Linked DNA regions of Arabidopsis thaliana. The protein of the gene in region 2 interacts with the protein of the main gene of each other region in a pairwise test. Each region holds a gene or a part of one and is shown on either strand. Other genes may lie near its edges.

Region 1 (3,758 bases), 1.4 Mb from region 2:
TCCTGTCTGGCGTTGAGACCGTAGACAAGAAGAAAATATCTACTACTACTAGTACTAATTAAACAACGAACGAAATAGAATCAACGGTTAGGACAAGACGATGGAATTGAACGGTAAAGATTAGATAGACACAAGTATGACCCACGCCAGGCTGTTCCTTTATTTCCTTAGCGTTAAACTGGTGGTGCTGACCCAACTAGGCGTCCCTTGAGTGGGAAGCTTTCAGGCCCCACGAAACAACGCCGTATTAGTGGTACAATCAAGCTTACTAGGCCCCGCCAATAACACGGACGAGACTTTTTTCGCAAAAAGCTTTTGTAACACTTGTAAGAAAATGGAATCATTTGAAAAGTAATGCTACAACAATTTTAGGAAAACAACATTAGTATTTTCATTTTAGATAGAAATATTTATTTTGTTACAGATTTTAATAAAATCAAAACATCAATATCACAATTGTTGTTGAGTGGACCATGACTTAGAGAGGGCTTCAATAAATCTTATTTTGTAAAATTACAAAGACCAAAAAAGTCAAGACAAAGTGGTGAGCCCCCACCAAAAAAACGAAACGTTTCGAATTATGCTTAAGCTTAAGCTGGTCCTACTCATACGGACCACGTAGCTCTAACCATTTGGGGACCACACCCAACCTGGCTGCCTCGGAAGCTATGCGTAAGGTGGGAGCCGTGTGGCCCCTCTCCTCCTCCCTCCACTCTCTTTTTGGTGCGTGTTGACCCACTTCTGCCTAAAATCGAGGCCCACTTCTTAACACGTGCACTTCTTCATGTGCACACGTGCTTTTTTTCCGATCACTAATACGCCGCCGTTTCCTTTCTTTTCTTCAGTGGTTCGATGACCGTGCTGTTGTGGTGCTCATGAACTGGTGAAGCTCTTGTTTCTCGTATATCTCTAGGGAGAAGTCTCTCAGCGTGTGCGTCGTTGTTGTTGCAATTGACGATGAACTACCGGTTGTTACGCCTGAGCTTGAGCTCGGAGCCATAACCGACGTCGCTCTTGATAAATTCGAACCGCTAACGTCTGAAACGGATACAAAGCCGCTGCTTGGAACAACTTGTAAAGGAGGTGGTCTAGCCATCGTGGAAGCCTGTTGAACAGCGGCGACGTAAGACGACGGCGAAGCAGCGGCGGCGGGAAAAGCTAATAACTGAGGCTGATTCGACGGACCAGCGATTTGTGGAATCAAGAAGAAAGCTCCGACCGTCGGAATCATTGCGTTTGATGGAATAGCCCACATCGGATACATTCCTTGCGGCAGAAGTTGCTGAGCCACAGTGGATGATGCCAGAGCTTGCGGAGGTTGGATCGTTGTCGTCGTGGCAATTGGAGCTAAACCGGAGGAAGCTGAAACGGCGTCGCTTATGTCTATATACTCACTGTTAGAAGGTCGTTTACGTTTCTTCTTCATCAGATTTTCACCCATATCAGAATCAGCGTTCGTCGTCGTCGGGATTTTTAAGGTTCCGTTAACCGACATGGCGATGGCGGGAACCGTTCCCGTACCCGTGGCGGCTATAATCGCCGGCTCAGCGTTCTCCAACAACCACCGAATCGTTTCGCCGTCGGATTTGTGACCTAACTCTCGAGTTAATTGAAAAATCCTAGCCGCACACGTGGCAGGCATCCGTATCCTTCTCCCTCTTCCTTCAACCTTCGTGTGACGGTCTTTAGTCGAAGCTCTCTTCAATGGTGGTCCTGTCGAAGACGGTGGAGCTAAAGACATTGAAAACGACGGCATCACCGGCTCCGCCTTGGGCTCGAGACTCACTGTGGGATTTACTTGGAAAGGTCTTGAAGTTTCGACGTTTCTGACGCCGTTGATGATGGTTAGATCAACGGCTCTTAGAGTTTGATCTTTGCCTGCAACTTCTTCAAGCTTCTGAATTGTCGCCATTAAAATATAGCTGAGAGAAAACGGACGGTGGAGATGACGACGAGAGTTGTTAAAAGCGGATACAATGGGAAAGAATCGTTTTAACGGCGTTACACGTCCAAGGAGATTACTAAATGTGACTCGTCAGGATATATATATAGGAGCAGGAAAACAAGTGAGAATAGTATTCAACGCTTTTTGATGCGGGAAAAATCAACGGTCCTGATGTGTTCGATGAGCTTTAAAGAACCATTCCGATTGTACCACGTGAACAAATCACTTTCCATTGCTCTATCTTCTATCAGTATTATTATGGGACCATCTGTACAATGGGGTCCAGTAAACTTTATTTCTCTTTTCACAAAATGTTTTTCTTTTATTGTTTAGTAATATACTTGTTTTTTAACCTAAGAAAAGCTTCAAAATCCAAAATCAGAAACTCATTCTGGTTAGTACTTACTAGTTACTAGTACACTCCCAAATGAAATACCTAGCTTTGTACAAAAATTTCCATCGCTGATCAAATTTAACTTTTCTATGGTTGGAAAGATTTTCAATAATTTTTATTGGTTAGGCAAAAAAAGATTTACTTTAATTTTATGGAAAAAGCTGTAAGCCCATACTTGGGGTTGGACCCCATTAATGTAGGTCACAAGGCTGCGCCACCAAAAAGCTAATTAGTGTCTATGGAATAATCCTCTTTCCAGGATTCCAAAATCCTCCTATCGTCCGTCCTTTGATTAAACCGGTCACATACATATACGCATACTTATGTACTTGTGTACTTGTACAATCCGGATATTAAACATACAAACCGAACTAGAAATCAGATCAAAGTAATCGAAATGATTGTAAGTTCGACGGTAACTAGATGTAACCGATTCAAACTTATTTTGATTCGTTGGTACTTGTTTCGGGTTTGAACCACTAGCTATGCTACTTGTACATACGACCGACCAGAAAGAGGGACCGTAAGCACCAGAAAAGAAAGGCTACAAAACGAAAATGTGAATGTGGGCCTGAGCTGGACCCTACTCTCTTCAGTTCCACACATTGTTGAGGGCTAGGCCCAACTATTCGACCCCACCATTCCCTACCCACTCAAAAATCAAAATATTGGCGATAACGTGGCCTTGAGATTAACAAACAAACGGATCCGGGATTAGAATTAAACACCAAATTATAAACCGGTCAAACCGGTAGTAACCTTTTAGGCTTAAAAGTTAAACCAAGTGGGTTCCACCTTTTCCGATTACAGATTCGGGTCCACCACAGAGGGATAATGTTGTAATTTTCGCAGCCACCAACTTTTGCCTACCATCAGCATACCATTCATTACGCCAGCATCAATAATTTGGGCTGATTGGTAAATTTGAGGTTTTGGATTCCGATGTTTTTACTTTTCACTAACCACACAATTTCACATAAATAAGTGTAGTATTTCTTACAAACCATTTAATCTTTAATGATGCTTGTTTTATTCGTATCGGTCCATTTCTTTAGACATAGAGAAGCTTATCTCTTCAGATACATCTGTCTATGGTTATGTTCTCTACCTGTTGCAATAAACACAATTTCTAACAAAAGCCTGAAACCATTCCCTAAGAAATCTGTAGGAGCCTTTGATGATCTGAAAAAGCATTCCAACAATGGCAATATTCTTCCGTTGCATATAAACCATAAGTAAAACGCTTAACCTCACGATCCCGATATGTAAGTGTACCGTGACTGAGCTCCCTCCAAAAGCTCCACAATTTTCTCTGCAATTTCCATGAGAGAACCAAAATAAGGTCAGTAGATGGCAAGTAGACAAGACAATCAGTGATCTCGTGAATGAAATGAAAGCTTTAAAAAGTAAACCTGTGAG
Region 2 (3,758 bases):
ATCGGCTGGGAATAGCTGAATACAGTATAAGTCAATCCACACTTGAGACCATATTCAATCATTTTGCAGCTAACTCATAGCCAGTGAAACCATTATTGCGGCTTGTACAACAAAAACCCTTTGTGACCATAGCCCAAAGAGAGATCTGATCACTTATTATAATCTCATCTGCGTACTCAACATAGTTGTAAATATGACATATACATGAGAAACCTGTGGTCTTAATGTCTATATACATGATGCCTCATATTTTATCTTCCATCAACTAAAAATCTGGAAAAAACCCTAATGTGCCGTATGTTCTGGCCTAAATTCGAAATAAGAGAATGCCAATCTTTTACTTCTAGTTCTAGGCCTGCTTTGAGAGTTGAAAGTTGAGAGTTGAGATTTACCAAAATTCAACCATTTTGCAGCTAGTGATACCATTATTAACGCGGCTTACATAACCAAAATCATCCTGACCACAGCCCAAAGTGAGATGTAACTCATCTCATCTACCCAAAATAGTTTTAAATTTCGCAAATACATGAGAAAACGTTCTCTTAGTTAATGGCTATATATATACACACGATGTACCATGTTATGAACACGAGACTTAACCAATACAGCAAAGAATCCGATATTTCTCGGACATATGTTCTGATCTTGCATGTCTTAAAAGAGTACTATATATAGTTATGCAAAACTTCTAAGAATATGAAGAAACTGGTATATTACGAATATCAATCTAGCAATCTAGTTTCATTCAAGTTTTACTCCGAACAACTTAAGCCCTTCATCTTCTTCATCATCACTTTCATCAGTTGCATCTTCGTCTTCTCCTCTGTATCTCTCCACCAACTCCATAAGCTGCTTGCATTTCTTCTTGGTTTTCCCAAGTTCGCAGCTTAATAACTCGTTTTCATTCTTCAAGCATTTGTTTTCGTCGAGTAATGCAGTGTATACGAAAGAGGATGAAGTGGCGGAAGACTGTTGATCCTCATGGTGATGATCAATCCCAATCCGTTGATGACCTTCTTGATTCACCATCGTTGTTGTTGGTACAACCTGGTGATTAGACTTGTTGTGTGACCAATGTTGGCTCTTCCTTCTTCGGATATTGCTCATAAGCTCTCTTTGCCCCTTTCGAAACATCTCATTACTAAATTCCCATCTTATCGTCGTTACTTTTCGAAAACCCTATAATATTTTTGTAACAACACTCATTAATGCCTTTAATTAAGCAAATACACTTAGTAAACTCAAAGAAACACAAATAGTTTAAAATACTGATTGAAACAGTGAAGCATATATACGTACGTAAGTATTGAGCTGGCGAACGAAGCTAGAGAAGTTGCAATGCTTGAAAAGTGTTGGTAACAGATCTCTAGCGAATTCTGCCGGCTGCCACACGACGAAACCAGTTCCGTATTCGTTCCAAGATATAACCCCGTCCGTCGTCGGATCCTCCACCACTTTGTATGTCTTTACCAAGAACGGTGGAGGCGGCTGTAGCTCCGCCGTGGATGTTGAGTTTCCGATCATAAACTCCAATGGCAAACGCTCCTCGTCGTTAACGTTATCGTTACACCGTAAATGTTCACCAGCATCTTCCATATATAAAACGAAAATTATTATTCTTGAAGAAAACAAGTAGTAGAAGATCTCAAACTAGAAAGACGTAACACGACTCCATAGAAAGAGATAGAGACGTTATTTAATTTAATTAGGTGGTTGAGACAATAATAGAAATACTTTAACAAAAGAAAACAATAATAGAAATACTTTGAACAATTTTCAAGGAACGTACGCTTCTAACTATTTACATATTCTATAGAATATGTAACTCTAACACTAACATGCATATAATCATGATGCATACACACACACACGATTGTGTTTGTAAATATATTTTTCTTATATCAAATGAAAATCGATGTTTGATGACAATATGACATGTAATTTTTCAGGTTTGAAACCAACCATCGATAATATTTACGTCGAATCCACTATACGACATAACTCTTTTTTTTCTCAAACACAACGCTCGTCTCTAACATGTATAACTAACGACATTTTGCTTTTAATTTTAGAATGATATTGGATTACTTTACCCCCAAAAAAACTGATATCAACTTAATTTGTATAGTTGATATTTAGTACTGGTCTTAAGTTTTTCAGGGAAACTGCAGTAGTCGTTGCTTTTACCAACCGAGCTATATTGTCAATATAATTTTAGTTGTAACGTGTGTGTTTGATTAGACGTATAGGAAACAAACGAAAAATGATTTTAAAAAAAATATTAATCACGAGGTATATATGTGAATACACATATATTAATGTATGTTGGTAAAATTGGATATTGTGATATGAAGCAACTCGTTTGGACCCCCTTTAGGTGAGGTGGTACTATCAATTTACGAAACGCAAATCATGCATATTATTCATCATGTCTACCTATATTTGTAAGATTTAGTTTTCTCTAATGATTAATCAAGTACTATCATTAGTAAAATCTCTCGAATATATAATATGGATTGCAAAAATATCACATTAATTACCAATCTTTTTTTCTCTATAAAGTACCAGTTAAAATACCACATAGCAGAAGTTATATTCTTAAACAGATCGTTTTCTAAATTTCATGTTAAATTATATTCAAAGTACAAATCTTTTGTAATGGTATTTTTAAAAATGATTATAAACTTGATATTTCATATAGTTAGTTTTGTTGTTTTGTAGGATCATGTAAATTGCTCGTTTTTCAAAATTGATGACTATCTATCTTTTTGACTATACATGCTTTGTCTAATTGTATGTTACTTTCGACACCTTAATTTGTTGATAATATATAAACAAGTGCTTAAAAGAGTATATATAGAAAAAGTAAGGGGGTTCAGTTGATCTGAATGGAAAGTTAAAAAAGTGATCATTCATCACGGTCGAATTTGATCATATATATAAGTTTATGGTAACGTATAACGGTAAAAGCCAGTAAATTTATAGAAGGAATTCCAAATTAAATAATTCTTTAAAATTTCAGTTGAATAAAAGTTCCCAAAGTTAAAATCTTTTTTTTTTTCCAAGACATAATCAAGTAACTTAAGTAAATGTCGGTTTTAGCACAATAATGCAAGAAAGGAAACCTTTAGATCTCTATTGGTCAAAGTAGGGGACAGTGATGTAATTCAAGTCATCGATCTACTGACTACTGGTGTTTGAAGGGGATTACCGACAATGTTCCTATGACGGCGCGTACCTTCCACGCGTCTGTAAAAGAGAGAGACAACTAATAATACAAATCCTAACGCTTAAGCTCTACTATATCGTTTTAACAGTAGTGATCCATATATATGTCCTGTTGAAATTATTTGTTGAACAATAAGATTAAGGGATCACAAAACTACTCCAGCATATACTACTTGGATATGTAGCTCTTGTAAGGCTTAATTTAGATGGTAAGATATAAACATCGAATTTAAGAATAGTCATCAAGAACAGCTTAGGAAACTTCAAATGGCAGATCGAATTTGGATGACAAGTAAGAACACGGTGGGGGGGTTTTTTTTTAACCATAAAGTTATGCTTAACGTTTAGTGATGTGGCTTCCTAACGAATCTATACAACATCAAGTCATCAAATGTAAGTACATTTTGTTGACTAAAACATTGGAAGTGCATGGAATTCAGACACTAGACTAAAGATAAAGATCCTTGCTTTCATTGGGCTGCTCTTTTTTGGTCAGCTTAACTTTTTGACTTAAGAAAAAATAGTCTGTC

The links.
Region 1: the proteins of HSFB3 (region 2) and TCP9 interact in binary tests that used the Arabidopsis thaliana proteins (3 or more experiments, as listed by UniProt).

Annotation. Positions count from the first base shown.
Region 1 is NC_003071.7:18,819,876-18,823,633, forward strand, and holds TCP9 (TCP family transcription factor), read right to left. Parts: upstream 2,015-3,758; 5' UTR 1,913-2,014; coding exon 842-1,912; 3' UTR 367-841; downstream 1-366. Other genes in the region: SSE1 (shrunken seed protein (SSE1)), read right to left, coding at 3,590-3,651, 3,752-3,758.
Region 2 is NC_003071.7:17,379,561-17,383,318, reverse strand, and holds HSFB3 (heat shock transcription factor B3), read right to left. Parts: upstream 1,673-3,758; 5' UTR 1,597-1,672; coding exon 1,300-1,596; intron 1,180-1,299; coding exon 742-1,179; 3' UTR 468-741; downstream 1-467. Other genes in the region: ABCA1 (ATP-binding cassette A1), read left to right, coding at 1-80. UniProt on the Arabidopsis thaliana protein: Transcriptional regulator that specifically binds DNA sequence 5'-AGAAnnTTCT-3' known as heat shock promoter elements (HSE).